Cricetulus griseus: one gene and its partners. The protein of the gene in region 1 binds, or shares a complex with, the protein of each later gene. Links are inferred from orthologs where the notes say so. Each region holds a gene or a part of one and is shown on either strand. Other genes may lie near its edges.

The links.
Region 2: Iqcd (region 1) and Efcab2 share a complex: the UniProt entries of both Homo sapiens proteins name them as parts of the nexin-dynein regulatory complex. The link is inferred for Cricetulus griseus from reciprocal best matches to the Homo sapiens genes DRC10 and DRC8.
Region 3: Iqcd (region 1) and Ccdc153 share a complex: the UniProt entries of both Homo sapiens proteins name them as parts of the nexin-dynein regulatory complex. The link is inferred for Cricetulus griseus from reciprocal best matches to the Homo sapiens genes DRC10 and DRC12.
Region 4: Iqcd (region 1) and Fbxl13 share a complex: the UniProt entries of both Homo sapiens proteins name them as parts of the nexin-dynein regulatory complex. The link is inferred for Cricetulus griseus from reciprocal best matches to the Homo sapiens genes DRC10 and FBXL13.
Region 5: Iqcd (region 1) and Gas8 share a complex: the UniProt entries of both Homo sapiens proteins name them as parts of the nexin-dynein regulatory complex. The link is inferred for Cricetulus griseus from reciprocal best matches to the Homo sapiens genes DRC10 and DRC4.

The regions. Positions count from the first base shown.
Region 1 is NC_048597.1:100,417,215-100,420,114, forward strand, and holds the end of Iqcd (dynein regulatory complex protein 10), read left to right. Parts: intron 1-1,422; coding exon 1,423-1,749; 3' UTR 1,750-1,886; downstream 1,887-2,900. UniProt on the Homo sapiens protein: Component of the nexin-dynein regulatory complex (N-DRC), a key regulator of ciliary/flagellar motility which maintains the alignment and integrity of the distal axoneme and regulates microtubule sliding in motile axonemes.
Region 2 is NC_048598.1:15,756,009-15,760,843, reverse strand, and holds the start of Efcab2 (dynein regulatory complex protein 8), read left to right. Parts: upstream 1-1,767; coding exon 1,768-1,798; coding exon of another isoform or gene 1,799-2,175; exon of another isoform or gene 2,176-2,686; intron 2,687-4,835. Other genes in the region: protein SOGA3, read right to left, coding at 1,591-2,175. UniProt on the Homo sapiens protein: Component of the nexin-dynein regulatory complex (N-DRC), a key regulator of ciliary/flagellar motility which maintains the alignment and integrity of the distal axoneme and regulates microtubule sliding in motile axonemes.
Region 3 is NC_048597.1:155,926,210-155,930,933, forward strand, and holds the start of Ccdc153 (coiled-coil domain-containing protein 153), read left to right. Parts: upstream 1-1,694; 5' UTR 1,695-2,446; intron 2,447-2,713; 5' UTR 2,714-2,723; coding exon 2,724-2,793; intron 2,794-2,819; exon of another isoform or gene 2,820-2,858; coding exon of another isoform or gene 2,859-2,863; intron 2,864-3,299; coding exon of another isoform or gene 3,300-3,304; coding exon 3,305-3,370; intron 3,371-4,464; coding exon 4,465-4,584; intron 4,585-4,724. UniProt on the Homo sapiens protein: Component of the nexin-dynein regulatory complex (N-DRC), a key regulator of ciliary/flagellar motility which maintains the alignment and integrity of the distal axoneme and regulates microtubule sliding in motile axonemes.
Region 4 is NW_023276806.1:172,829,297-172,834,185, forward strand, and holds the start of Fbxl13 (dynein regulatory complex subunit 6), read left to right. Parts: upstream 1-1,627; 5' UTR 1,628-1,855; coding exon 1,856-1,930; intron 1,931-1,938; coding exon of another isoform or gene 1,939-2,050; exon of another isoform or gene 2,051-2,051; intron 2,052-2,308; exon of another isoform or gene 2,309-2,324; intron 2,325-4,889. Other genes in the region: Armc10 (armadillo repeat-containing protein 10), read right to left, coding at 1,062-1,194. UniProt on the Homo sapiens protein: Substrate-recognition component of the SCF (SKP1-CUL1-F-box protein)-type E3 ubiquitin ligase complex.
Region 5 is NC_048596.1:200,187,223-200,191,350, forward strand, and holds the end of Gas8 (dynein regulatory complex subunit 4), read left to right. Parts: intron 1-58; coding exon 59-124; intron 125-3,180; coding exon 3,181-3,330; 3' UTR 3,331-3,453; downstream 3,454-4,128. UniProt on the Homo sapiens protein: Component of the nexin-dynein regulatory complex (N-DRC), a key regulator of ciliary/flagellar motility which maintains the alignment and integrity of the distal axoneme and regulates microtubule sliding in motile axonemes.

The DNA of each region.
Region 1 (2,900 bases):
ATCCTTGCTGGCAGGGACCCTGTCCACCCAGTCCTTGTCCCCGAAGTGCTCTGCCTCAGTGATACTCGTAGATGCTGGTGGAAAAAAGGGGGTGGGGGAGAGACAGAGACAGAGAGAGAGACAGACAGAGACAGAGACAGAGAGAGACACAGAGAGGGGGAGGCTGGTGAACTGCAGCAAGAGGGGCCAGAGACAGAAGTGGGAGAGGACCCTGGGGTCACCCAAGACAGAGCTTGCTGCTTTGGGCCTCTGTGAAGCTGCCTCACCGGAGGCAGCTCTCCTTCCCCGAGGCCACACTGGGTCCTGGTACAGTGGCATCACATCCTCGGGGGCCAACTCTCACTATGATAAAACACTTGAGAAAGGGAAGAAAGTTTTGTATGAGCTCAGAGTCCTGGAGTCCTCAGAGTCCTCAGAGTCCAATCCATGGTCACTTGACCCCTCTGCCTTGAGCCTGAGGTGGGAATGTCTCAGAGAGGGCAGCAGAAATGTTCACTCTGAATAAACAAGGAGGGAGGAGAAAAGGGTTGAACAGAGGGGAGGAGGGAGTGGATGAGAGAGACACAGATCAAAGAGAAGATACCTTTCAAGGGTCCACCCCCCAGTGAACTACTTCCTCCCGGAAGGCTTCCTCCTCCCTGTTCAGCACTGAATCCATCAACTGGTTAACCCACTGACAAGACTGGCGCTTTCATGATTCAGTTGCCACTCAACAGCGCCACCTAGCTGGGGGGACCAGGCCTCCAGCCATGTGTCTGTGAGGGGGCTTTCATACTTAATCCCAGAAACTCTCCCTGGTATTTGGAGTATTTGGAATTGTCTGGAGAACCAGAAGCTTTAAAGGGAATCTCCTAAAGGTGCAGAGAAGCTAGACTTCAAAGCTACGGTCAGCGGCTGGGGGACCACCTCAGTTAGTAGGATGCTTGCTATGCAAACACTAGGACCTGAGTTTGCATCCCCAGCACCCATGTAAGAAGCTGAAAACTGCAGTGTGCAGTTGTAATCACAGTGTCGGGAGGCAGATCCTGGGAGTTTGCCAGCCCAGTGATACCTGCAAGCTCTAGGTTCAGTGAAAGATTCTGCCTCAAAAAGTAAGGTGGAAAGATTGAGGAGGAAGCCTAACGTTGTATACACACACACACACACACACACACACACACACACACACACACAGGAGGAAGCCTAACGTTGTATACACACACACACACACACACACACACACACACACACACACACACACACCTAGGCTTGCACATCTCTCAGCCCTTGTTCCTCCCTTCATTCCTGAGATCTGTTCAGTTGGGTCCTTCCTGGAGTGAGCCCAGGTGCAGACAGACAGGCTCTATCTGCATACTACCTGTCTGGGGCGCATGGAGAGCACGGAGGCCATCCTTGTGCCCTCCAGCCCTGCCTCTCTTCTAGGAAGAATACGAAGATCTGGAGAGCATCCACAAGGAAGAGAAGCTGCAGCTGGAGGAGCTAAAGGAGAGGCATGCGGTGCTGGTGGAGGAGTTTTCCCAGATCCGTGCTGAGAGCGAGATCAACTCCAAGAAGCGGGTGGAGGCGGAGCGCGAGATGGTGCGCATGGTGCGGGCGGCCACGCTCATCCAGGCGGTGTGGAAGGGCTACCTGGTGCGCTCCATGCTCAGATCCAAGAAGAAGAAGCGGGGCAAAGGCAAGGGGAAGGGCAAAGAGGAGAAGGGTAAGGAGAAGAAAGGCAAGGGCAAGGGCAAAGGCAAGAAGAAGTAACTGCTGCCTGGCCCTGCTCCTGCCCAGCCTCAACCACGCCCTGCCCAGTCTGAATGGTACTCCCACCCTGCCCCAGCCCTTCCATCCTGACTTTAATGATGGCCAAAATTAAAACAAAACAAAACATTTAAACCATACTCAAGGGCTCACCCTTCAACAGACGTGTCTACCCCAGGATGAGGCTGTGTTGCTCATGGGCGCAGCATCCTGAGGAGGGTACAAGCTTTGGGACCCCCATCCTCCCACATCTTCATTGAGAAATGAGGCCCTGGTCCCAACCCAAGAGATACTGTGGTTACCATGGAGAGACATCATCACTGGGCAGCCCTGGCCTGCCCTGGGACTGCCCACCCACCCACAGCTCTGCCCCTTTGCTATGAACCTTCTGGAGGGCAGCAGCGTTTTTGGTTTGGTGTTTAGATTGCATGATTTTTTGAAAAGTATTAGTTGCTAGAATCTCATAAATTAAGAACCATCCATAGAATCCTAAAGCCCTTATTGTGAAGATCCCATCACCCTGATATCCCAGTATCCCGGCCCTGTGTCTTCTTCCATGGTGCAGCAGCATCCCACCCTGCAACTTTATTTTGAGACATAGTATTCCTCTGTAGCCCCAGCTGGTGATCCACCTGCCTCTTGATTTCTAAATGCTGAATTTACAGGCATGGGCCACCTCTTTGGCTTCCTCCACTTCAAAACAAAACAACAAAACTAAAGAAACAAAGGATGGTCAAGGGGGATGGTGGGGGCGGTGGTGGTGCACGCTATGTGGGAGGCTGAGGCAGGTGATCTCTGAGTTCAGGCCAGCCTGGTCTACAGAGTGAGTGCCAGGACAGCCAGAGCTACATGGGGAAACCCTGTCTCAAAAACAACAAAACAACAAAAGGGTTATTTTATTTATGTGGGTGTACCCATGGAGTCCATAGCTGGCTGCAAAATTCATTGGAACTAGAGTTACAGATGTTTGTGAGCCACTTGAAGAGGGTGATATCTGAACTTAGGACCTCTGACAGAGCAGTTAAGTTCTCTTAACCCTTCAGTCCCCAATTCACTCATTCTTCCTTCCTTTCTTCCTTCCTTCCTTCCTTCCTTCCTTCCTTCCTTCCTTCCTTCCTTTCTTCTTGAGACCGGGTTTCTTTGTGTAGCCTTGG
Region 2 (4,835 bases), on another chromosome or scaffold:
TATAATTACAATTTTTAAAATTATATCTGGAGTTCTAAGTATTCCTCAAAGCTGAAACAGGAGGATTGCTTGAGTCCTGGAATTTAAGAACAGCCTGGGCACGTAGAGAGAATGTCTCCTCTTACATCTAAAACAAAGATACAAACCACACACACACACACACACACACACACACACACACACACACACACACACACTTACATACACACACAGATAGATGCACGCTCACACACACAGACACATACTCACACTTTCTTTCTCACACACAGACACATATACACTCTTTCTCACATATAGACACAGACATACAAGACAATTTCCAGACAGAATGTCCCATTGTATAACACAACTTTATTCGCTAGAAACTTATGTGGTAGAAACAAATAAATAAAAGCACTATAAACCATTCCAAGAGCTTGTGGAACTATGGAACCACTGAGGAAGAGGTGGAGAAAGACTTAGGGAGCAGGCAACATTTAGGATCCTCTGCAATCAGGAATGGCCGGTTCTCTTTCTCCCCACACTTGCTTGGCCTGCTTTGAAGGTTCATTGCACTCTGTTTACAGAAGTTCAGTTAAGAAAAACCAGTAACACAAAATTAAATACAGCCTGGCGGTGTGCATGCCTTTAATCCCAGCACTCAGGAGCAGAGGCAGGCTGATCTCTGTTGAGTTCGAGATCAGCCTGGTCTACAAAAGCTAGTTCCAGGACAGCCTCCAAAGCCACACTGAGAGAAAGCCCGTCTCGAACCTCCCTTCCCCCTCCCCAAATTTAAATACTAATATCTTGCATTTTAAAAGCCTTAACATTTAGTTGTTATTTTTATAATAAATTTTTAAATGAGTACACATGCCCTGAAATATCATTAAGGATTAAAACTAGTTATTCATCTGAGCCACATTGTTAAAGACATTTTAATACTTTTTTTTTTAAAAAGAAAACATCCAAATATATCAAGCTTACCCATAAAATAACAAAACACTACAGCCAAGTTCCTCAGGAACATAGGATTCAAAACTCTCCCTGGAAGGTCACGCCAAACTGCACCATCAACCTATCAATGTGTGTAATACTGAGAACAGACCGGCAATTTATTCGTTGCTATGAGAACACTATTTTGTACCAGACATTGCAGCCTTGACGACGCAGTGTTTTGCGCCTATTTTGCACGTGTTTTCCTACAGCGAGCCCTCTCTCGCGATCCCGGAGAGAGGCCTGCTGGCTTCCTCCGGCAGCGGCCCACGTCCGTTTTCGCTCCAGTTTCCCTGGGCTGCGCAGTGGCTCCGCTTAGAGGGCGACCCAGGGGACGCACCGGGCCTGGCTGGCGGGCGAGCGGGAGGGAGGGCAGCGGGCGAGCGGCCTTACGGTTGTGAATGGGCCGGGGAGAAGCCGCGCTCTGCACGCGAGCTCTGCGCAAAAACAATACAAAACCAAACCGAAGCAGCAGAAACCGCAAATAAGTAAATAAATAAATAAGTAAATAAACAAATAAGCACACAAACGAGGCAGCCCCGTCCCCCGAGGGGGAGCGCGCAGCGCTTGAACTCTCAGGACGGTCACAAACAGGCCAAGGCGGGCTCCGGAACTTTATTAATAAACGACTCCCCTAGGCCGCAAGACCCCGGGGCTGGGCTGGGGGAGCGGAGCGGGCCCCGGGCGGAAGCGGGAGGACCCCCGCGCGCCGAGGGGCTCCCTCCCGCAGGCCGGGCTCGCGCGCCCCGCAGGGCTTGTGATGGGCATCTCCCAGGCGACGGGCTCCGCACCAAGATGGCGGAGGAGAAGGAACGGGAAGGCACAGGTAGGAACGCTGCCGGGGCCTCCATCTTGAGCCCCTCGGCGGCGCGGGGCGGCGCGGCGCGGCGGGCAGACGGGGGCCGAGGAGCGGCGCCAGCCCGCGTCCCCGCCGTCGGCTCCGCCCCGCGGCCCCTCCGCCCCGCCCGCCGCGCCCTCCCATCCCCCGGCTGAGGTCCGCGCGGGCTGCGGCCGTGGCAGCCGCAGGGGACCTTCATAATGGCGTCCTTGTTCCCGGGGCCTCCACGCCCGCCGCGCCCGGGACTGTGGGGACCCGGAGGCCGGCCTCACGGCGGACGCGAGCCGGCGCCGGAACCGGGCGGGAGCCTCTGCGGTCGCGCCGTAGCCACGCCCGGCCCGGCCCCAGGCGCCGGCCGCCTCCATGTTGCCTCCTCCGCCAGGCGGCAGAGCGAGGCCTCGAGGTCACACCGGGCCGTGCTCGCCCGGGTGTCGCCAGAACCTCGCTTAAAGGAAGAGATGCCCAAATAACCGCTTTATAATAAGAACGGAAAGGAAAACCCAGCCGGGGACCCGTCGGGGCCGCCCGGACCCGCCGGGTTCCCCGCGCGTGCTGGGGACCGACCGAGGCGGCTGCAGTGACCCGCGAGGCCTCCGGGGACCCCGAAAAGCGACGATCCGCGTTGAACTGCTAGACCCTTTGAGTTGGCTTCTAACCCAGCAGCGTGACTTAAAATCGGGTCCGTGGTTAGCGTCCAGTGACCCAACAGCAATTACACCACAATTGACCGAAATCACCGCTCCATAAATCAGTAAATAAATACATAAAGCAAGCCCTAAGATAGTAAAGGGCAAATATTCGTGGAGGGAAGGTCACGCTCCATCTTTGTTGCAGTTTTTTTGAGTTTTCACAACGCACCATATCGACCCTCCTCCACTCTCAGTTTGGAACAAAGTAGTTAACTAATATTTACATGAGGTGTTTAGTCCATCGTCATGGTGACCGCAGAAAAGCAGCAGGGAAACTGTGAGACTGCCAGAGATCTGTTTATTGATAACTGGAAATTGAGATTTATACATGATAAAATTAATCTCAGAAGCCGGGATTGTAGTACAGGTTTAACCCTATTAAGGTATTAAGGTTTTGTGTTACTGCTTTAGAAGTGAAAGGAACACTCTTAAGAAAAATGTCCATGTACTTTTTTTTTTTTTTTTTTTTTTTAAGAATATGATAGTTGTTGAGTAGGGGGGTAGGGAGGATCAGGGAGGTGAAAGAATATGACCAAAATAATATATGAAAAAAATTTTCACATAAAAAAGCTTTCCCTTTTATTTAATTAGATTCTTATTTACCCCCCCCCCAAAGAAAATAAAAGGGAAAAAGAACTATTAGGAGATAAATTACATTTTTTAAAAAAGACTTGCTTAGGGGAGCATTGGCATATACTGCCAGTTTTTACAATGCAAGAAAATATATTCTTTTATTTACCTTGTGCCCCTGATTGGTTTGTAGAACTCAGTGATGTGATTAAAGGAGTATGCCCAGTCTGATTTTTAGCCCTAGAGAGAGGGAGGGAGGGAAGGAGGGAGAGAGAGAGAGAGAGAGAGAGAGAGAGAGAGAGAGAGAGAGAGAGAGAGAGAGAGAGAGAGAAAGAGAATGAATTCCTGATTCTTTAGTTAACAAAGCATATTTTTCAGCTTAAAATACATTTAGAGGAAGAAACAGTTCTGTCTGCAACTGTACAAGTTAAGTAGTGGCTGTTGAAAGCTGAATTTCATATATATTAAAGTTCTTGTATATTTAATGCTTGTTTGATGGAAAGTTAGTATTAAACTGGAGAATTTTGAGAAGACCAAACCTGTGATTGTCCAACTGAAGCAAGCTCTATTAAATACTGACCAGGAAGGTGGAGACTAGCCAGGTCTGTATTCAGGATTCCCAGAGAAATGGTGCTGAAATCAGGTCAGTCAGGTGCCTATAAAGGCCAAACCCACAAGGCCACTGTACTTTCCACCTTTGGCCAATGGGGGCAAACATACACCCTGTCCTATTTCCTGCCTAGGTAAATCTCCAGCCTCTCTCTGATCAAACACATCCTGTGCAGATGGGGCAACCAACCTTGTTTATTGAAGTGAAAATATGTGACTTGTTATCTTACAAGGACAACAGCCCCCAGCATTCCAGGAAGTGTTCTGTCCTTGGGCAAGTGGGGCTTGCAGGTTAACTTTAGCCTTAGGTGAAGTCAGAACTTAAGTGACTAAGAAGATGAGGAAGGCATTGGCTTTGCCCTCTCTATGGCCTCATCAGTAAGGGAGATTAGAAACATAACAGCTGGAAAACATGCCAAGAGGAGCAATAGGAAGGAGCCAGGGCCAAGATAAGACACCCCCCCCCCAGGACACACCCCAGCATCCTTTTTCATTCAAGAGACCTTACCTTTTATAGTTCTGTTCAAAGTTTTGAATCTATAAATGGATTAGGTTAGTGCCCTCAAGATCCAGTTGTCCCTGGGAAAGCCCTGAGACACATTGAGAGGTGTGCTGTGTCTCTGTCCAGTAAAGTGGATAATTAAGATGAAGAATTGCTAAAATGGGCGTTGGTGGTGCACACCTTTAGTCCCAGCAGAGACTAAAGGCCTGTAGGAGGCAGAGGCAGTCAGATCTCTGTGAGTTCAAGGCCATCCTGGTCTACAGAATGAGTTCCAGGAAAGCCTCCAAAGCAATACAGAGAAACCCTGTCTGGGGAGGGGGGAGGGAGGGAAAAATTGCTTGGAAAAACCTTTCTATGTGGTTATGTATGTGTTGATGTAGTTATGCTTCTCTGTAGCTTATTTTGTGTTTGGACAGTGTAATTTACTTTTTCCTAATTTTTTTCTCTAGCTAAAAAGCATATGAATTTAGAAATTTAAAACAAAGTCAATTTTAAGTCATTCATCTTTTTTTTGTACTGAAAGAATGTTTGAAATATGATATGAAAAAAATCTCTTTTAAGTTTTATCATTTCTTTGAAGTTTCCTCAGCGTTTTTGTTTGGATTTTTTTCCTTCCGGTTTGTTCTGTTTGTTTAAATGGGTAACACATGCAGTT
Region 3 (4,724 bases), about 56 Mb from region 1:
TTTTTTTTTTACTTCACTTCACCTTGACCTCAAACCACATCCTGATTCTGCACCTGAGAGTCAGTTGACTGAACATATCTGTAAAACAAATGCTCTTCTGAGGCCTGAGGTATTGCTTGTACTCTGTCACTTCTATACTCAATGTGTTGTTCCAAGCACCAACATGAGTGACACAGTGACCCAGTGAAAGAAGTCCCAAACGTGCTCCTCGTACAAAGGAAAGGGCAGGAACTCCCATGTATTCTAGGGCAGGAAGAGGAGATTCTGAAGGAAGAATAAATAAAAACATGGTGGAAAGTGAGAAGAAAGATGTCCTCTATATCTGGGAAGTGTGCACAAGGCTCACCAGCCCCAAGTTCCATGGGTTGTAAGCACCATAGAGGCAAGTCTGACTCCTCTCTTCCCTCTACAAAATGTACAGAGTGATGGCTGGAGACATGGTCCAGCAGTTAAGAGCAAGCACTGCTCATGCAGAGACCCCGACTTTGGTTCCTAGCACCAACCATACTGATGGACTGCCCACAGCAGCCTGTAAGGCCAACTCTAGGTGCTCCAATGCTCTCTTCCAGCCTCTTTGGGTACTGCACTCACATGCACAAACCCACACACATATAGCGAAATGAAAAATTAAAATTAAAAATCTTTTCTAAGATCTCTAAAGTGCCATGGGGTTAAATAAACACTCATTGACCTTCTGCTTCTTCTTCACAGGTGAGAGATCTTCCTCCCACGTCTTATACCTGTTTCTGCAGATTTGCTTCTGATAATATGCAGTTGACCAAAATTCTGGAATAGACAGAAGTGCCCAAAAAGAGTCTGTAGATCCCATAATCCACAGGGAAGAAGGAAGGCTTACTGTTCCATTCTATGTATGATGCCATTGTGATGCCCAGTAATGGCCCGGTTCCAGGATGGAGCCCTCCCAGATGGAGGGGGCAATAGCAAGCTACCCCATCACACTCTCTACCCACAATCAATTTTTTAAATCATATGCAAGATGCTAGAAGGCATCCCCCAAAGAGAATCTCCCCCATATTGTGCAAGAAATACTAAACTGCAAAATTTAGGAGACTCTGGTCAAAGCAAGTCCACTAGAGGGAGCACTAACCAACTCTATGCTGCAGAGAGCTTGGGGGCTTCTAAACACCCTGTCTGCAGAGTAACCTCACAGAGAAATAGGGAGAGTGAGACAATTGTTGAGCGGGAGAGAAAGAAGTCCTAGAAACACACCACTGAGTATATATATATATATTATATATATATATATATAATATATATATATATATATATCCTTATTTTACATAGCAATCTCGGTCCTGTCTTCCCATGCCCACCCACCCCCATCCCATTCCCACTGCCGTCCACTCCCCAGGGAGGGTAAAGCCTTCCCAGGGGGATCATCAAAGTCTGTCACATCATTTGGGGCAAGGCCTAGGCCCTCCCCCATGTATCTAGGCTGAGAGAGTATCCCTCCATAGGGAATGGGCTCCCAAAGTCTGTGCACTAGGATAAATACCGGTTCCACTGCCAGAGGCCCCATAGACTGCCCTGGCCTCCCAACTGACACCTATCTTCAGGGGGCCTGGTTGGGTCCTATGCTGGTTCCCCAGATGTCAGACTGGGGTCCGTGTGTTCCCACTTGCTCAGGTCAGCTGTTTCTGTGAGTTTCCCCAGCATGGTCTTGACCCCTTTGCTCATCCCTCCTCCCTCTCTACAACTGGACTCCAGGAGGGAACTACAAAACTTATACACCAAGAAATCCAAGCTGAGCAAAATTAAGTAGCTCAGTTCGCAACTCTGCCTAATTTGTGGCCTCCTTTCTGGGTCAGCATCCCCAAGTCCACAGCTCTTCTCTGTTCTCATTTCTCTTAAGTGGAAAACTCTCAACTACCTGTGCCAGCACGTGTTTCCTGCACAAGCCACAGATAGCATTTCTGAAGTAGACCTCAAGTTCTAAAGCAAATCATGTCACTGTGTTCATGAGACCTCGGGATATAAAGTACCTGCAATGGCTACTTTCCCTGCCTTTCTTCTCCATCTGTAAAGCACTAGCCTCTCACACTGGATGCTTCTAGATTTCTAGACTGCAAAGTCTCCAGATGATAGGCAGTGCCTGTGTAGACATGAATAATAGCTATTCAGCTCCAAGACCTTTTCTTTGCGGGTAGGAGGGGAATCTACCTACACAGGACCTTTGTGTGAGTCAATTTAGCCCATTCTACCTGCCTATGAACACAGTGTTTCCCGGTTGCCTGGGCAGCAGGCAGTCTCCAGAAACCCAACATCCCAGTTCTTGGTCCTGCCTCTTGGGGAAGTTTTTCAGCCTGGATTGGCTCCCAGGACCCAGGCTCCTTCCTCCCTAGGCTCAATCTGCTTGGGACTCTATCTTTCCCAAGGAGTGTTATTCCCCAGGGAGACAGCACTCAAGCAAGAGAAGGTCCTCCAGGTAGGAAGGGGAAGAATAAGCATGTTGGGGAGACAGAAGGGACCAGGTCCAGAGATTTATCTTCTCTAAAAGGGCTGTCTGCTGCCCATAGAATTGCTCTACCTCCCAGCCTTGCCTGGGGTTCCCAGGAGACCAAGAACCAAAGCTTCTAGAAAGTGTAAGATACACTGGAAGACTAGAATTCTGACTGCCCCAAGACCCCTACCTCTAGGAGTCAGGAGAGCATTTCTGTATGCAGACCTACACAGAAGGTCTTCCCTCCCCCAGGGCAGCAAGGATGCCACCTAAAACCAAAGGAAAGGGGAGAAAAACTGGGGCACAGAAGAAGAAAAAAAAATCAAGTCCTGGTGAGTCACAGGGCGTGTCTGTGACACAAAGGTCCTCGGAGGGAATCCAGCCCTCTGGGCAACAAATGGAGTGGGTTTGTTTTGGTTTTGTCTTTTGTTCTTTTGACACAGGGTCACTATGGGACCCAGGCTGCCCCAGTCTTCATAGTGACAGGATTACAGGCGTTGCTACCACACTTGGCTAGGGTGAAGCTTCCTGGCCCTCCTCTGCAGATCCTTGCGTCCAGATTCCATGGGGCTGAGGAAGTGGAGAATGCCTCCTTCCCAAATTCCCCCTGGAGCCCCATCTAGTTCTTTGCCCTCATCATATTTTTCACCCTTATTTTGAGCACCCACCGTGCACATGGTGGGTGAAGACTCTGCCACTCAGCCGTAAATTTGTCAGATTTGCCATTGGGCCTCCCTCATCCAGCTATCTTCCTCCATCACGAAGGAAGAAGTGCAGGTGCAGAGCAGCACTGGGGTGAGGCCGAGAGAAGGATAACCTGAGACTATTGTCTTGCCAGAACAGATGCAGAGGCTGAGGCCAAGCATAGGATGGTCCTGCTGGAGAAGGAGCTGCTTCAGGACCACTTGGGTAAGAAGTTTGAAGCCTCAGGAGATGGCAGAGATAGAAGTCCTAGTTAGGGTCATCGTTGCTGTGATGAAACACCATGACCAAATCAACTTGGGGAGGAAAGGGTTTATTTGGCTTAAGCTTCCAAATCACTGTTTATTATTGAAGAAAGTCAGGATAGGAATCCGAGTAGGGCAGGATCCTGGAGGCAGGAGCTGATACAGAGGTCATGAAGGGTTGCTGCTTACTGCCTTGCTTCACATGGCTTGCTCAGCCTGCTTCCCTTTTTGTTGTTGTTGTTTTATTTTGTTTTGTTTTTCGGTTTTTCGAGACAGGGTTTCTCTGTGTAGCTTTGGAGCCTATCCTGACACTCGCTCTGGAGACCAGGCTGGCCTCGGACTCACAGAGATCCGCCTGCCTCTGCCTCCCGAGTGCTGGGATTAAGGCGTGCGCCACCAATGCCCAGCTCAGCCTGCTTTCTTATAGAACGCAGGACCACCAGCTCAGTGGTGGCACCATCCACAGTGGGTAGGCCCTCCCCATTAGTCACTAATTAAGAAAATGCCCTAAAATCTTGCCTACAGCCTGATCTTATGGAAGCATTTTCTCAGTTGAGGCTACCTCTTCTCTAATGGCTCTAGCTTATGTCAAGTTGACAATAAACTAGCCACCCAATGTATGGAACATAGGGCATTTCTGGGTTCTTGGGGAACTGGAAAGTTTGAACTGTGTGCAGGGCTAAACCAAGATAGCCATTAATCTATTTGCAAGATTGTGAGGAAGGGCTAGGCAGTGAAGATCAATGAAAGAAGCTATCTCCCACCCCTTCCCCCAGCTGGGAATAGAATCACAACTTCATTCATGATAGGTAAGTAGTCTACCATGGAGCTAACCTGCAACTTGGGGAAGCCATTGTCTTATAGTGGCCAGAACATGGAGGGATTATTGACTTAGGAATGAAAACCCTATGGGTTTTGGGGCAACTAATAAAGAGTATACGAAATTGACACCTGTCACCAAGTTCACAGAGGTGAACTTAGTTCATGGAGGCCATGGTGATTGGTTCTGTAGGACCCACAGCCAGACCTGAGCATGGCTCTTGACACTGTCCACAGCTCTCCAGAGGGATGAGACCCGCAGAGCCAAGGCTTCTGAAGAGAGGCTGAAGCAGAGGTTGCAAGGGCTAGAAGCTGAACTGGAGAAGGCCCAAAGTGAAAGGGATGCTGTCTATGCAGGTATGATTTGATTGGCCAGGTGGGCAGGAGACAAAGGCATGGAAGAGGACAACCATGAAAATTGGGGAATTCAAGGAAGGGAAATGAAGAGGAATCTAACTGCCATACCCTACCCTCTGCTGTCCCTGCATAGGCAGGGT
Region 4 (4,889 bases), on another chromosome or scaffold:
GACCAGGCTGGCCTCGAATTCACAGAGATCTGCCTGCCTCTGCCTCCCTCTGGGATTAAAGGTTTGCATAGCCAGTGACCAGCAAGTATGTTTTTCTACCTGCTGATAGATAAAGGTGCCCTATTTTCCCCTTAGGGAAAGGCAATTAGTTCCCACCAATGACTCTCAGTCAAGCTGAGATGAATTATGTGTATAAAATGGTATTGTCAAGTCCTCTTATTTTAGGGACAAACTATTTTGCATATGCTCAGCTACACAAAGGTGAGAATTCTGTCTTTGGAATGCCATTAGAAGATTACATGTAATGGTGTCAGGAAAATGTTTTAATAATTACTTAGAAAAACAAAACAAAAAAGTTTCTCTACCTCTGAGGAAGGCAGGTTTTTAGTTGGCAGACTTTATTTCAAATATTTCCCCAACAGTTTTCACGACCTAAACGATCCCTTTAGCATATGCAGCAAACTGTTGGACCTCTCTTACCACCACAGGACTGAACCTACAAGCCCTGTTTGTCCAAAGGTTGTAACCCGTGTCGGCTGAGCGTCTTTTTCCTGCATACACCCCGAGTTGCAGGATGCTACGGCTGGACCCCAGGACAGGTCCCATAAGTGTTGGCAGAATTGCACCTCAGGGAGCCCTTCTTCACACGGCTACGTGCAAAGTTTCAGCCTGGGCTTGAAGGCCGCAGTAACCCTCTCGCAGTCAGGGGCATCTCTTTGGTGACACAAAGGCCCGGGACAGGTTTTACAGCGACAGGCAATCTACACGGTTTGGAGAAACCCTAGTTCTCGGTTGCGAAGCGATGTTTTCTTGCAGCCCTCGTCTTAAACAAAGGAGTAGGTGGGGGGGGGGCAGGGAGGGCTCAGGACCGTCTACCTCCAGCGCTCCGCCGGCCCGCCCCACGTCCCCTCACCCAGACCCAGTCTCCCTGCGACCACAGGCAGTGGCCGTGACTGCCGAGGGCGCCCCCGGCCCCGCCCGGCCAGCCCAGCCCAGCCCAGCCCAGCGCGGGGGTCCCGAGCCCCGAACCTGTGCACCTGCCGAGCGGCCCAGCGCCTCACCTGCGGACCGCGAGGGGCGCAGTTTGCGCCCGCCTGGCCGCGGGCCCCGAGTCAGCCGGTAGATGCAGTAGCAGGCGCCGGCGCCCAGGACCAGCCCTGCCGCCACCCAGCCCGCGTCCCGCGCGCCGCCCATGCCGCCGCTGCCTCCGAGTCGCACGGAGCGGATTCAGCACCGCACGTAGCGGCAGCAGCACCGCAGACAGGAAGTGCGGCTGAAGCTCCGCCTTCCGGAAGCCGCCCTGCGAGCGTCGGAAGCCCCTCTACCCGCGCGCTGCATCACCAGGAGGGCGGCGGGATGGGCTGGCTGGAGCCGCCGCACTCGTGGCCGCCCGCCCCACCCCGCCCCGCCCCGCCCCGCCCCGCCCCTCTGAGTTCTCCTCTAGCTCGCCCCACCCCCGCGCCGCCCCTTTGTACTCTGCCCGCCCTCCTCACTCCGCCCCGCCCCCTGCCCTCAGGCTCTAGTTTCCATTTCCAGGCTGACCCGGACCGCCCCGCCCAGCTGCATGCCCCTCCCCTTTACATTCTGCCCCGCCCTCTCTCACTCCGCCCCGCCCCCTCCCCTCAGTCTTTAGTTTCAGTCTCCAGGTGGTGGGGACCAACCTGCCAGGCTCCAGGCCACGCCCACTTCATGCTCCGCCCCGCCCCTCCCCTCGGGCTCTATTTCCATCTCCAGGCTGGCGGGGACTGTGCCTGGCTGGTTCCGTGGTTGCCACGCAACGCCCCGACGCGGCTGGCCTTGGAAGCGCAGGTTTCCAGATTGGGCAGACCGCGGTTTCTCTGTCCGGTCTCCGGCCATGGCTTCGTTACGCGGTGCCTCCCCCAAACTGAGGAACTACTTCAGGGACAACTACATCCCTCAGATCTGTGAGGTACCTACTGGAGCCAAGCCGAAGGCGGGCGCAGGGAGGGGCCCCGGGGCAGGTGCGAGGAGACCGGGGTGATTGATGGTGGCGCCAGCCTGGATGGTGTGAGGAAGGAAGAAGTGACATCCTGCAGGGAGAAAGAGCAAGTGTCAACTAGTGAGGGTCAGCCAATGGACAGAGAGAGAGACAGAGACAGAGAGACAGAGACAGAGAGACAGAGAGACAGAGACAGAAAGACAGAGAGAGACAGAAAGACAGAGAGACAGAGAGAGAGAGCAGAGACAGAGCGAGACAGACAGACAGACAGACAGACAGACAGACAAAGTGGGAAATTACCAGTATGGAGCCAAGTAGAAATATTTAATAGGGAAAAGCCTTACTTACAGAGCGACCTAGCCAAATTGCATGGCAGCAGTCTGTAGAGCAAGCCGAAAAGTGAAACCAAAAGCAAAACCCCAACCTGGAACTCTACATCACCCTGACCACGCCCTCAAAGGCGTGGTTAGGCACACCCCTAAGTGGGCAGCTTCCCCTACAATTCCCCTTTTAGTCTAAAAGAGGAGTAAAACTTAACAGTGTTAAGTATCCAAAATTAACAATCATAAAGGTGAAATATAAGAAGATACAACAATCTGCTTATGTCACATCCTAACTATCTATGTTAACTAAACCCTAAAGTCATCTGAAAGAGGTGTCCAAGCCCGAACACCTCCTTCCAATCCCAACCATAAACAATAGGAAACTATCCCTAACTAGGTATATACACTATCTTAAGTGACAACAATGGGGGAAAGGGGACGTAGTATTCTCCAAGTTACTTCCTGCTGAAATGGGATGACGACATCCTTATGGGGTCCTGTAGGAAGAAAATGTTAGTATAGTAAAAGTCTTGAATGGATTGTATCCAGTCCATGCTTGAAATCCTCAACTTGATTGAAGTCAGTACCCAAAGCTTTGGCCGGAGTGTCAGGTGAAATGGAGCAAGTTGGATGCAGTGCAGTTGAGGAGGTGTGGCCCATTTTCTTTCCAGGGTGTCGAGGGATTGCTGTCAGGCAGGTCTTCATTGGCTGTGTGGGACTCAAACATAAACAGCAGAGAAATGTTGCTTGTGTATGTACACATACTAGGAAAGGCAACCATGGGAGAATAACGATTATGAGAGGGTGTACACCTTGAGAAAGAGAGCCAAGAAAAGACAAAGACAGTCCCCAAATTCTTCTATCATTCTGTATTACATCAATTGGCTTCTTGATACTATACAGAAAATCTAAAGTTTAGTTAAACAACGTGCTTGGATTTTAGAGGAGGAAAGCCAAATCCACCTCTAAATCCAGCGTTGGTTTAATTGAATAGGGGCTAGAAAAAGAGAAATCGAGTTCTCTGAGAGATAGCTGTAAAGTTTGCCGTATGGCACGTTCCTTTTGTTTGATGGTTATAGCTACCTTCTCTTCTTAAGCATCTACCCATGCAGTGTCCTTTGCCTTCAGGAGATGAGTTTTCCTGTGAAGATAAAAGCAAAACACTTCCCTTTCCTTTGGGAGGTTTCTATTTAATTTATAAGATATACCTTAGTAGAATACCTGTCATTTCTCCTCATCAAGAGGTTTTTCCTTTTCAACTCGAATCTTGATCAACTTTGATGGTATCCAAAGTTTTTCTTGTCCTGTGGAAACCAATGCAAAACCCCTACCCCACTGTAACACATGTCCTGGTTTCCATACAGAGGTTAATACATCTTTGAAGTATATCGGCTGATTCAGTTCAGCAGTTTTCTCCATAGTCCAGTGTCTTTCTGCAGCTGTTTGTTCTTTCTCATTGGCATTAAGAAAGTTTAGTGTTAATAAAGCATTATGCAACCTATGTTTGGGGGGTTTAGTCTTCCAAGTTTGTTTGTTGAGCATCTCCTTAAGTGTTCTATTAGATCTATCAACAGCTGCTTGTCCCGTAGGATTGTGTGGTATACCAGTAACATGCTTTTTGTTATAATATTTGAAAAACTGTTCCAATTTTGTGGAGACATATGCTAGAGCATTGTCAATTTTTATTTGTGCAGGTATATCCATAATTGCCATCACCTCTAGCAGGTGTGTAATAACAGAATCAGCTTTTTCAGAGTTAAGAGCAGTAGCCCATTGGAACCCTGAGAACGTGTCTATAGTATGATACACATATTTCAAATTTCCAAATTCTGCAAAGTGAAAGACATCCATCTGCCAAACCTCATTTCTCCGAATGCCCTTAGGATTACAACCTGCTGGCAATGGAGTTTGGTTATAAAAGGAACAAGTAGGACAGTTTCTCACTATCTCCTTGGCTTGTTGCCAAGTGATGGAGAAGTCCTTTTTCAAACCTTTGCTATTTACATGATGTTTCTTATGAAATTCTGAGGCTTCTAGCACACTTCCAATTAATAAACGATCAATCTCATCGCCTTGTGCTAGTGGGCCTGGCAGACCCGTATGGGATCTGATATGTGTAACATATATAGGATCACTTCTGTTTCTGATAGTTTCCTGTAATTGTAAAAACAATGAGGTTAATTCTGTATTATCAGGAACTAATTCTGTAGTCTCAATGTGTAACATGACTCTGCATATTGAGAATCAGTAACTATATTAAGAGGTTCTGTAAAATCGATAAGCACCATGAGAATTGCATATAATTCTGCCTTCTGTACAGATGTATATGGACTTTGAACTACTTTACTTACCTCCCCTGCTTTATAACCTGCCTGACCTGATTTGTTGACATCAGTGTAGAAGGTAAGAACTCCAGAAATGGGAGTTTGTCTCACAATACGTGGAAGAATCCAGACTGTCTTTTTTATCAATTTAATTCTGTCAGTTTTGGGATAGTTGTTGCTAATTGTTCCCAAAAAGTCAGTAAGAGCTATTTGCCAATATTCATTATCCTTCCACAAGGAGGAAATTCCTCATTAGTTAAAGGTACTATAATTTCTGCTGGA
Region 5 (4,128 bases), on another chromosome or scaffold:
CTAGTGTCCACCTCTATCAGATGACGAATATTAAAGTCGCCCTTGTCTCTCTCCTTAGGATGTTCTGGAATCGAAGAATACCACCATCAAGGACTTACAGTATGAGCTGGCCCGGGTCTGCAAGGTATGTATGGCTCATCCCCATCCCCAGAGCCCCACCTTCTCCCTCAGGGCTGTCTCCTCCATAGAACTGTGCTCCTGTACCCAGCTTCAGCTTGTGAACATTCTAGATGAAGGAAGGGTCCCTGAGGCCCTCTCTCATTTCTTCTGCATGTTTCATTCAGAAGGTAGGTATGGTAATCCCCTTGTGATATGTCTTCATAGCCTTAGGGCTTGAGAGTGACCTAGTCCTGGCTTTGCTTATAGGTCTGCCTGGCACACACTTAGGACTCTGTCTCCTACCATGTTCAAATTTGTCTCTCCCTCACCCTTCTTTGCTCAGCTGGCCCCTCAGGCAGGCAGTTGGAAGTGTCTCTCTGCTCTTCCACATGAATGCTCACTGCAGTAAGTCACTCTCACCCTTTCGTTACCTTTGTGAATCTAAGGTAGCTCCATACCCTTACACACTAACATGTGTACCCACTGGACCCTGGCTGCCATCTGTCCCATGCACCTGAGAGAAGCCTGGGTTCTATATCTAGGTGGTCCTTAAGTGGACTGTTCTGCCTGTGTTTGCCCACTCTCTGGTCAAGGATTTACCAAGAACAGCCACCCCACAAGTCACATCCTTACTCTGTGGAGCAGGCATTGCATCTCTGTTTGTTGTTTAGGGCTTTATTGGGACATTTATGTTATATTGTTTTATTTTTTAAAAATATTTGTTTTGCTGGACAGTGATGGTGCACACCTTTTCCCCACCACTCTGGAGGCAGAGGCAAGCAGATCTCTGAGTTCCAGGACAACCAGGGTTACACAGAGAAACCCTGTCTCAAAAAATAAAAACAAACAAACAATTAACCCTAGACATAGGTAGGCAGTATCTGTTACTGCTTCCTAGACTCCATGCTGCTCAAGCTGCCCTGGCTTCCCAGCCGTCGCTAGAGGTCAGGCTAGAGCTTTACTTATCACACCTGTCCCTCAACTGACATGGCAGAGCAAAATTAGGGATAACTGCTGTGTGTGTAGCTCTTGGGGGCTGGGGATATCTTTGGCTTTTGTCTGATCAAGGTGTCTGAACCTGGGATGTCTGGTAACCAGAGCTCAGCCTCTGAGTTCTCTCTGGAACCCATCCTTATTTACCCTTTTCTCTCTATTTCAAGGAATAGTTCTGTTCACTAAACCACAGTGGGGATAATGAACCTTTTTGTTTTTGAGACACAGTCCTACTATATAACCCTGGCTGGCTTGGAACTCACTGTGTGGACCAGGACCTGTGTGCTTCTGCCTGAGTGCAGGGATTGCAGATGTGCACTAAATCCTAGCTAGTGACCTTTTCAGGCATTTGCTGTGAGTCTCACAGGCTCCAAGCATTCTCATTTCATTGAATTCATCAACACCTATAATCCTAGCACTTAGGGGTACTGAGGCAGGAGGGACATGAATTCAAAGGCAGCATAGGCTGCAAAGTAACACCCTGTCTCAGACAAATTAGTAAAACAAATTCAAGTCTTTAAAACTGTTTAGTGAAATTTTCCCAATTAAAAAATGTGCATTTTAGCTGGGCCATGGTGTTATACCCCTTTAATCCCAGTAGTTGGGAGACAGAGACAGGTGCAGATCTCTGCGTAAGTTCCAGACAGCCAGGGCTACACAGAGAACCACTGTCTTGAAAAACAAACAATCCAGCAAAAAGTGCATTTTGGGGGTTGGAAAAGATGGCTCATTGGTTAAGAACACTGGAGTGTAGTTCCCAGCATCCACATGGATGGCTCACAGCTGCCTGTAACTTCTGCTCCAAGGCATCTGAGTTTCTCTTCTGGCCTCTTTGGGCATCTGCACAATATGTACCTTCCCATACATACACCCACATACATATATGTAATAATAATAAAAAGTACTAGACATGCTTTTTTTGAGAGCTGGGTGTGGTGGCACACCCTTTAATGTTGCCACTCAGGAGGCAGAGACAGGTGGATCTTGGTAAATTATAGGCCAGCCAGGTCCATATATCAAGTTCCAGGACATCAATGGCTATATAGGGAGACCCTGAGTAAAGAGGAAAAAAATTTGCAAGGTGTATTGGTGTATGCATGTAATATTAGTACTCACATGGCTGAAACAGCAGGGTTTTTTTTTTAATTAAAAAATTTCATACAATATATTTTGATCATGTTTCTTCCTTTTCCCCCAACACCCCCTTCCCACTCAACTTTATGCTCTTTCTCTTTCAAAAACAAAAACAATAAAACCCATAAAAATGGAAAAACCTAAGACAGACAAATGCCAAAACAAAACAAATATGACAAAAAGTACACACACACACACACACACACACACACACACACACACACACACTCACAAAAAATGGAGTTTGTTTTGTGTTGGTCAACTACTCCTGGTCAAGGGACGTCCTAGAATATGGTTGTCTTGTCCAGTGGCACTGCATGGAGAAAACTAACTTTCCTTTGAAGCAGTGAGATTTTGAGTGCTAGGCTGTTCTGGGAGAAATAACAAATTCTAGCCAACCTGGACTATATAGTGGGGCCTTTTCCAAGACAAAAATGAAAACAAAACTCCAAAAAACAACAGAAGATTAGCAGAAAAACCCCACCCCACAAGGAAGGCGGGTGGGGTGGGGGGTGGTGGTGGTGGTGGTGGGGTGGGGGGTGTTGGTGTTGTTGACTCCAACAGCACTATTTCTGAGGTCCAATGCCCTCCAATTGTATCCTCTGCAGAGAGAGACACTGGGGTGAATCTCCAGAGGTAGGGAGTAGATGCCATTCTACTTTGACAGGGAAGGGATAGAGACCTTTACTGGGAAGTACTTGCTAAAGAGCCAGGAGTCCACCCAAGTCTCAGTTCTTCTGAGTTGGTCCTTATTGTGAGTGATTTGAGTTCATGACATAAAGGCATCAGCACTGCTGTAGCACAGAACAAACCATTGACCAATGCTTGGCCCAGATCTCCTACCCCTCCCCTCCATGGGATGGAGCCTACCTCTGAGTGGGCCATAGCATGTTGACTATGGTTCCCAGGCTGGAGTGAATTCCTTTTCTCCCTGACATTGCTCTGTCCTTTCAGGCCCACAATGACCTGTTGCGTACATATGAGGCGAAGTTATTGGCCTTCGGGATCCCCCTGGACAATGTGGGATTCAAGCCCCTGGAGACAGCAGTGATTGGACAGACACTGGGACAGGGCCCTGCAGGACTTGTGGGTGCCCCTACATAGCCACCTTCTGGGGCTTTTGCCTTTAGACTGCGTGCCTCACTTTGCAAGTGATACCCGTTCTACTCCAAGAACATCAGGTTTTTGTTTTGTACACTTCATCAGCAATGAACGTTGTCCACACTTCCTTTGCATTCTGTCTTTGTTGGGAAGAAGTACCTGCAAGGCTTCTGCTAAGGTCTCTTTGTCTACTTGATTCCATGTACTGCCCAGTTTGTGTCACACTTGCCCCTTTGAGTCCTGCCTCCAACCTCTGCAGTCCTTTCTCTGAGTGTACCTCTGAGTACTAACCTTCCAGCAAGATGGTACCTCATTGTCCTTTGTTTAGCATGAAGCCCATGTTCTTGATTTGGCTGGGCAGAGCAAGAGAAGACTGGCAGGCTTCCTCCTTTGGGCCAGGCTCTGTACAACCTCCCCTGGTAGGTGGTATAGAACCATGGGTTCAATAGCAGAGACTTGTGAAATTTATAAGACTCTGTCCTAGTTTTGTTTTCTGTTGCTGTGATAAACACTGTGACCAAAAGCAACTTGGAGGAAGAAATGGTTTATTTCAGCTTAGAACTTTCAGGTCACACTATCACTGAGGAAGGCAGGGAAGAAACCTGGAGGCAAGAACCCAAGCAGAGACCATGGGGGCATGCTGCTTACTGGCTTCCTCTCCATGGCTTTTCTTATACAACTCAGGGAGCACTTTGCCCAGAGGTGGCACTGCCCACAGTGGGCTGGGCCCTCCAACGTCAATCATTAATCAAGAAAATGGTTCAACAACTTGACAACAAGCCACCTCATGGTGGCATCTCC